Oryctolagus cuniculus: one gene and its partner. The protein of the gene in region 1 interacts with the protein of each later gene in a biochemical or structural test. Links are inferred from orthologs where the notes say so. Each region holds a gene or a part of one and is shown on either strand. Other genes may lie near its edges.

Evidence for each region. The genes of interacting proteins can lie anywhere in the genome.
Region 2: of the proteins of UBE2I (region 1) and TDG, one has a biochemical effect on the other in vitro, tested with the Homo sapiens proteins (3 studies listed by BioGRID). The link is inferred for Oryctolagus cuniculus from reciprocal best matches to the Homo sapiens genes UBE2I and TDG.

The regions. Positions count from the first base shown.
Region 1 is NC_091450.1:33,712,748-33,716,493, forward strand, and holds the start of UBE2I (SUMO-conjugating enzyme UBC9), read right to left. Parts: upstream 2,377-3,746; 5' UTR 2,111-2,376; intron 1,928-2,110; exon of another isoform or gene 1,771-1,927; intron 1,624-1,770; exon of another isoform or gene 1,471-1,623; intron 1-1,470. UniProt on the Homo sapiens protein: Accepts the ubiquitin-like proteins SUMO1, SUMO2, SUMO3, SUMO4 and SUMO1P1/SUMO5 from the UBLE1A-UBLE1B E1 complex and catalyzes their covalent attachment to other proteins with the help of an E3 ligase such as RANBP2, CBX4 and ZNF451.
Region 2 is NC_091442.1:106,812,148-106,815,793, reverse strand, and holds part of TDG (G/T mismatch-specific thymine DNA glycosylase), read right to left. Parts: intron 2,800-3,646; coding exon 2,664-2,799; intron 2,472-2,663; coding exon 2,389-2,471; intron 2,309-2,388; coding exon 2,214-2,308; intron 54-2,213; coding exon 1-53. UniProt on the Homo sapiens protein: DNA glycosylase that plays a key role in active DNA demethylation: specifically recognizes and binds 5-formylcytosine (5fC) and 5-carboxylcytosine (5caC) in the context of CpG sites and mediates their excision through base-excision repair (BER) to install an unmethylated cytosine.

The DNA.
Region 1 (3,746 bases):
CCCCACTCCCACGAGCCCGAGTCACGCCAGGCTGGGAGGGCCCCACACCTCAGGCCGCGGGCGCACGGCGCTGCTGAGGGGGGCAGCCCAGCGCCGCTGCCCCAGCCTGGCCTCCCCCACGCAGGGCGCCTGCGCCCCGGACCCGAGGGCCAGCGCCCTGACCAGGGCCGGCCACAGCGGCCCTCAAGGTCCAGGACCACAGCCCAGGGCCCAGGCCGCCGCGCCTGGACTCCACCAGCTGCTGTCTGCCCCGTCCTCGGAACCCACGGGTGTCGCCCTCCAAGTCCCTGGCTACAGAGCCACTCCACGGCTCACCTGGCACTGGTTAGAGGGGGAGGCTCTGCCCGGGGCGGGCGGCATCCCAGAACCCAGCAGGCGAGAGCCCAGGAGAGCCAGACCTCCACAGACGATCGGACGAGGACCACGGTCCTCGGGCTCCTGAGTGCCGGCGCCTCCGGCCGTCGCACACCGCGCACGGCTGCAGGCTGAGCCCACGGCTGCTCCACTTCCCAGCCGGCTCCCTGCGGGGGGACGCCCAGGGCCTTGGGCCCCTGCACCCGCGTGGGAGACCAGAAGAGGCTCCCGGCTTCCACACGGCCCAGCCCCAGCCGACGGGGCCGTCTGGGCGAGCCAACCAGCGGCTGCGCGACCTCTAACTCTGCCTTGACAATAAATAAACCTTTAAAGAGGCGAAGCCGCCGCCAGGCTGCCACGCCTTCCCGCACCTGGCGCCCCAGCCCGGGCCCCTTCCGGGAACAGGCGTGGCGGCCCGGTCCCAGCACACCTGCCTGTGGCTCACCACAGCCTCCACCTGCACGGGCAGCGCGCGAGCCAGCCCCGGGCGCCCTGGGGTCCCCGGAAGCAGGCAGCACAGCACGGGGCAGGGGCCGGCAGGGGCCTGGGGGCCGCGGGGAGCCCGACGTCGGTCCCCAAGGCTCCTGTGCGCCTCTCACACCCTCCCCGCTGCAACCCGCCCTCCCGAGCCAGCGCATCAGAACTGCACCCCTGCCCGTGCTGGGCCCGAAAGAGCTCCGCCCACAGAGACCCCCGCGGCGGGCGGCGCTGCCCGTCCGGGCCGAGCCACAGGTGCGCACCTGCTCGGCGCCGGGCGCCCGGCCTCAGTCTCAGCACGCAGCCGCGCTGGACAGGTGGGCTGCCGCGGCCCGCACCGGCCGCCTCCGTGGCCCTTCTCGGCCCTCCCGCACCCGCGGACGGGCCCTCTGGGGCATGCACCCCACGCCTCCCTCGGCTGCGCCCGACCCCCGTCCCGGGACCCCCGCGCCCCGCCAGACAAAGGCACAGCGGCGGGCTTGGCCAGCGGCCTTGCGGGAGAGGGCCGGGGCGCCGCGCGGGGCAGGCGGCCCACACAGGCCCCGGGAGGCGGACGGAGGGCCGGGCGCGCTCCGGGCCCCGAAGACGCGCGACCCCCGCGGCGGGGCAGGGGGCTGGGGGCCGCGGCCACGGCCTCACCTTGGCCGGCACGGAGCCGCCCGCCGCCCGTGGCGAGCGGGGCGCTCTCGGCCGCGCAGGAAAACTTCCCTCGGCGGCGGCGGAGCCCCCCGCGCGCCCGCTGGTCCGCAACCGGCCGCTCCCGGCGCCCTCCCGGGCGGCCCCGCGAGCCCCGCGGCCCGAGGAAGGCGCGGCCCGGGCGGCCGCCGTGACCCCGAGGCCGCGCGCCGCCCGGAAGGCCGCGGCGCCCGCCTCGCGCCCCGCGCGGGCCGCCGACGGCCCGGCCCGAGCCCGCGAGGCCCCCCGCCCGGCCCCGCTCACCTCGGGCGGCCGCGGCCCGGCGAGCGTCACGGACGAGCGGGGGCCGAGCGGCGGCGGCGGCGCTTCCCTTTGTCTCGGGACTTCCCTCCGGAGCCCGCTCCGCGCGCAGCCCCGAGCGCCGAGGACCCCGGCGCGGGCGGGGCGGCGGGGCGGGGCCTGGCCCGGGGCTGCCCGCCGCACGCCTGCGCCGCGCGCCGCCGCCGCCGCGCCGCGCCGCGCGCCGCCCGCGGCCCCGCGCGCTCCTCGCCGCCCGCGCCCCGCCGCCGCGCGCCCGCGTCCCGCGTCCCGTCGGGGAGCCCGGCCCGGGGGCGACTTTCCAGTCAGGCGGCGCCCTGGACACCTGTGCTCTTAAAGGAGCCGCGTCCTCGAAGTGAGGGAGCGTCTGCAAACTCTCCTTCGGGGCGGGCGGGCGCACTCGAGGATACGCCGGCGAGCAGCCGGGGAAGGGGCGCGCCGCGTTCCTCAAGGGCTCCCCGGATGCCCGGCGGGCGCGTCTCAGCGCGTAGGTTCCGGAGGTCTCCTTGGGGCCGGGGCCCGGGGCCGGGGGGCAAAGACCACTGAGGCCTACGGATGCCCGAAACGGCGCAGGACGGCGACAATCCCCTGAGTCTGGCGTCCTGTGAAACCCCCTGCAATTGGCCAATGCAGGGGCCTGGGCGGGGCATCGTCCAGATCCGCCCAATCAGCTGACGCCGTACGGAAGGCCGGACGCTCGCCAGACCGACGGGAGGAGAAGCGCCGACGCTCCCTAGCCCGGGGCCGTCCCGCCTGGGGGAGGGGCGCGCCGGGATTCCCGCGCGCGGTCTCGTCCCACGAGCGCGAGCGCGCGGTTCGCGGGTCCGCGCCGTCCCGCGCGGGCACGGCGGGGTCGCCCCTGGGGCTAGGGCGCCGTCCGAGCCGTCGGCGCGGTGGGCGCCCGGGGCCAGGCGATGGGGTCGGCCGCAGAGGGCCTGGAAGGCACTCATTCACGCCCTCCTCCAGGCTCCGCCGTCCGCAGCCTTCGCAGCTCTGGTTTGCCGGGACACGGAACGTGGCTGACAGGCCTGGCGGCAGCGGCGGAGACCCCCGAGGGGGCAGAGACGCCCCTCATTCCCCGCGCCCCTAGGTCCCGGTCCCAGCTTCCCCGCGGTCTGCGCTGGGCTGTGTGGCCGTGGAGAAGCCGCTGGACCGCGGCCCTGGGGTCCCAATGGGCAGGGGTGGGGGGCAGGGCCTAGGTCTGCAGGTGGGGGGGGTAGGGCCCAGGTCTGTGGGGAGGGGGAGCTGGGGGGCCCAGGTCTGCAGGTGGGAGGGGGTCAGCTCAGGGGTCCCGGATCCGCGGTCCTCCACACGGGGACACCTGGGGCAGGGAACCCACCTCAGATGGGCCAGGTTCAAAGGACACACTGAGGCTGGGGGGGGGGGGTGAGGGCCCCGGCCCCGCCTTGGGGGGCAGCCCTCCACAGATCACCCACAAATCCGGGCTGGGGGGCTGGTCAGAAATCCACACCTGAGCAAAACCCAGAACTCCCGAGAACAGGTGCGTCCCGACCCCGTGCCGGGGGCGGAGCCGGGGTCTGGGCCCACCCTCGGGGGGGGGGGGAGTGTGCGTCCCAGGACAGCCGGCGACCGCGGGCCCACCCCGCCTCGCACTCCCGCCCAGGGAGGAGCGCGCAGAGAGGCTGTGTCCCGGGGGGAGCGGAGGCCGGGCCCTCCTCCCCGTGGCCGCCCTTGGACGCCCTTCGCTGCCCACCGCCTGGTGACCGCGGGCAGCGCTGTCCCTGCCCCAGAGCCGCGCCCCGCCCGGATGCGGGACGCACCTGCCGCGCGCTCCCGCCTGGGCCTCGGCTGCCTCACTTCCGTCTCCAGACAGGGCCTCGCGCACCTGCGCCGCTCCCGCCTCCGGCCTCTGCCCGCGAGCGCTGCCCGCCCAAAGTCGCCTGCGGGGGCTCCTCCCCGGCCCCTGGGCGGCCGGGCGGGCGCTCTCGGAACGCCCCGGG
Region 2 (3,646 bases), on another chromosome or scaffold:
GCGCGAGGAAACTGAGCACACCTTGCACTGGATGATGGCATCACATAGCAGAGCTGGAATCAAGGTTTTAGTTTCAGAAATGTTACAATTCTACTGAATCAACTCATACTGACATTATACAATTTATCTTAGAGTTACTAACTTAATACCTAACCACATACTTATATTGTATGCAACATCAATAAAAGTAGTTGTGCTTAAGTTCAGATCTGTAGTATTTATTTCAAAGTCAATAAATAAAACATAAACAGCCTTCTTCCCCAAACATCCATCTGTCAGTAAAGTCTTTTCAATAGAAATGCATGATTCATGGTTCATAATTCAAGAGACAGAAGGGCATGCGAGTGTATAATGAAGTCTTCCCTGCCGGCTCTGTCTTTACCCAGTTCCCTCACCCAAGGGCAAACAATGCTGCCAGTTCCGGAGATGCCATAAACATACAATCCAAGGTATCTGGATATACGCGCCCCTTTTAAAAAAATATACGAATGTTAACATGCTCTACTTCCTGTCCTGCACTCAATAATTACAATCAGAGTAAAAAAAGAACTTCCTTTTTTTTTTTATAATTGTGTAGTACTTTATAATCTATTCAACCAGAGCCCAACTGGGGACATTTAGGCTGTTTCTAATTTTTTGCTATTATAAGCTGTAGGAAAACAAAACAAAACAAAACAAAACCTTTGTACATATTTGAATGTTTGAGTATATCCAATAAATTCCTGGAAGTGCAATGGCTACAAAGAAAGACAGCTGCATTTATCAGCTTGGCTGATGGTAACAAACTGTCTTTAAAAAGCGCCTGTGAGAGGCTGATAGGATATGCATGTTCACATAATTTTTAAATTGGCCTCCATATCATGTTTTACAGGAAGAACACATTACTTGCTTTGCTTATGTATGTGTAGAAAATGGTGATTCATAAAGCTATGTAGTATGAATATTACTGGATTTTGTAATAACATATTTTCCAATCTAAAGATATTCTTCTATTAAAATGATTCAGAAGCTTAAAAAAAGATAGGTCTTTTTGTTGTTTCACAGTTAAATCACTAATAAATCAGCAACTTTAACATTTCATGATAAAGACTAAGTTTTAAAAGATAAATGCAGGGGCTGGCACTGTGGTGTAGCAGGTAAAGCCACAGAGCCTGCAGTCCTGGCATCCCATATGGGGACCAATTTGAGTTCCAGCTGCTCTGCTTCTGATCCAGCTCCCTGCTGTGGCCTGGGAAAGCAGTGGAAGATGGCCCAAGTGCATGGGTCCCTGCACCCATGTGGGAAACCTGGAAGAAGCTCCTGGCTTCTGACTTTGGCCTAGCCCAGTCCTGGCCTCTGTGGTCATTTGGGGAGTAAACCAGCAGATGGAAGACTTCTCTCTCTCTGTAACTGCCTTTCAAATAAATAAATCTTAAAAAAAAAGAAATTAGAGTTTGGAAATATTGCTATTTCTGAATGTTTGTCTGGGCTGTATTTATATGGCTCTAAAATGAATATACAAACAGGACCTGTGGTTTTTCTCATCAGAGTCATGTTTCTTTCATAACTGGGTCCAAGGGCTAACTCAATTGCATTTGATAAGCATACACCATTAAATATATTTTATTCCTGATTTTTTTATAAAGATTTATTTATTTATTTGAAAGTCAGAGTTACACAGAGAGAGGAGAAGCAGAGAGAGAGGTCTTCCATCCGTTGGTTCACTCCCCAGTTGGCCACAACGGCCAGAGCTGCGCCGATCCCAAGCCAGGAGCCAGGAGCTTCTTCCGGGTCTCCCACGTGGGTGCAGGGGCCCAAGGACTTGGGCCATCCTACACTGCTATCCCAGGCCACAGTAGAGAGCTGGATTGGAAGAGGAGCAGCTGGGACTAGAACTGGCACCCATATGGGATGCCGGCACTTCAGGCCAGGGTGTTAACCTGCTGCGCCACAGCACCGGCCCCTAAATATATTTTAAATGCAGTACATGAGCCAGTTCCTCTTAATAGTTTAGGTGGATAACATCATTAAGACATTTAGTTGATAAATATGTCTCTAATAAGATCCTAACAGTTTCTGAATTACTTTGTAACTATTAGTTCAAGTTGATATATGTATAGATATTATTCAACAAAATACAGTGTGCTTTTTTTTGTGGCATAAACTACAATGGATAGGGAGTACCAAGGAAGAGAGACAACATTTCACCTCCAGCTGCCATTTTAAGGACTTACAGTTTCTGTGTCTGGAATCTTGTGGGGTTGAAGCCCAAATTCCAAGTTCTTAACCTTTACTCCAAAAACTTCTCTACTAAAAATTTCATAAATACCTAAAATGAAATACAAACATATTTACAGCGTCTATAACATTAGCAAAGAAGAAAAGATAAAATTTAAAAGTAAATCTTACATTTTCCATTAAACACTGCTATTCGTGGCTGATATTTCTGTAATTTCTGGACTAGAATACGTCCTCCTTCACGAAATTCTTTACTAAAATTGAATTAAAAAGTAGTCAAAACCAAACGTGACAACATTTCTAATACGCTAAATTCAGGCTGTTTTCAATAAAAGATCACATCATATAGTCATTGAGCTCAGCTTGAAGGGCATGTGGATGATGTTCTCAGGGCCTGTGAGTGCCAGCAGGTTCAAGGTTCCGACTCCCCAGTGCTACGTCATTACCTGGAAAGATCCTTGCTGCCTGGCGTCGTCCTCTCCACCATATTGGTAAATCCAATGCCATACTTCCCAGGTAAAGTGTGATCGTCCATGTGGTTCAGCTGGACCTCACTCAGCCCTGACATGAACAGACACTTCCCTGCGAAAAGACAGTTCAGCTTATTTCTGCAGGTCAAAGGCTTTTGCCCAAAGAAATGGTGTGATAATCTAGGTTCTATTCTTGAAATGAAAAAAAATAAGATTGAGAATATTAAAAAATGGTAACATAGCTCAAACACCATATTGAGCAATTACTATGTGTGGGGTCAATCCTTGACATGGATTAGCTCATTTAATCACCGTAATTACTTTATGAGATTAAAATTATAATCTCCTTTTCTGTCTGAGAAGACAGAGCTACTAGTGTAGGAAACTTTGAAACTATTTTCCTTTCCAATAATTGCTGTTAACATAACCTGCCAACAAACATACACTAATAACAACAAACACCATGACAGTGAAGAAAATGGAGAATTCAGAAAATTCAGAACGTACCAGAAAGGTTTTTTTTTAAAGATTTATTTATTTGAAAAGCCTAGTGACACAGAGAGAAGAGAGAGAGGGGAATCTTCATCCACAGGTTCACTTCCCAAATGGCTGCTGGACCAAGCCAGAGCCAGGAGCCAGAAACTCCAACCAGGTCTCTCAGATGGGTGGGGCAGGGGCCTAAGGACTCGGGTTATCTTCCAGTGCTTTCCCAGGCACCTTAGCAGAGACCTGGACCAGAACTGGGAGTTGAACTCATGCCCAGTTAGGATGGTGGTATCGTAGGTGGTGGCATAACCTGCTGTGCCACAACAATGGCTCCACCAGATACTTTCAAAAAGAAAATGAAGAAAAAGTTTTGTTAGTTCTAAAAATGTGTTACTGTCACTTGCTCTAAATGCGTTTAATGTTACTCTTGGGGCTGGTGTTATAGCGCGGGGGTTGTGCTGCTGCCTGCAGCA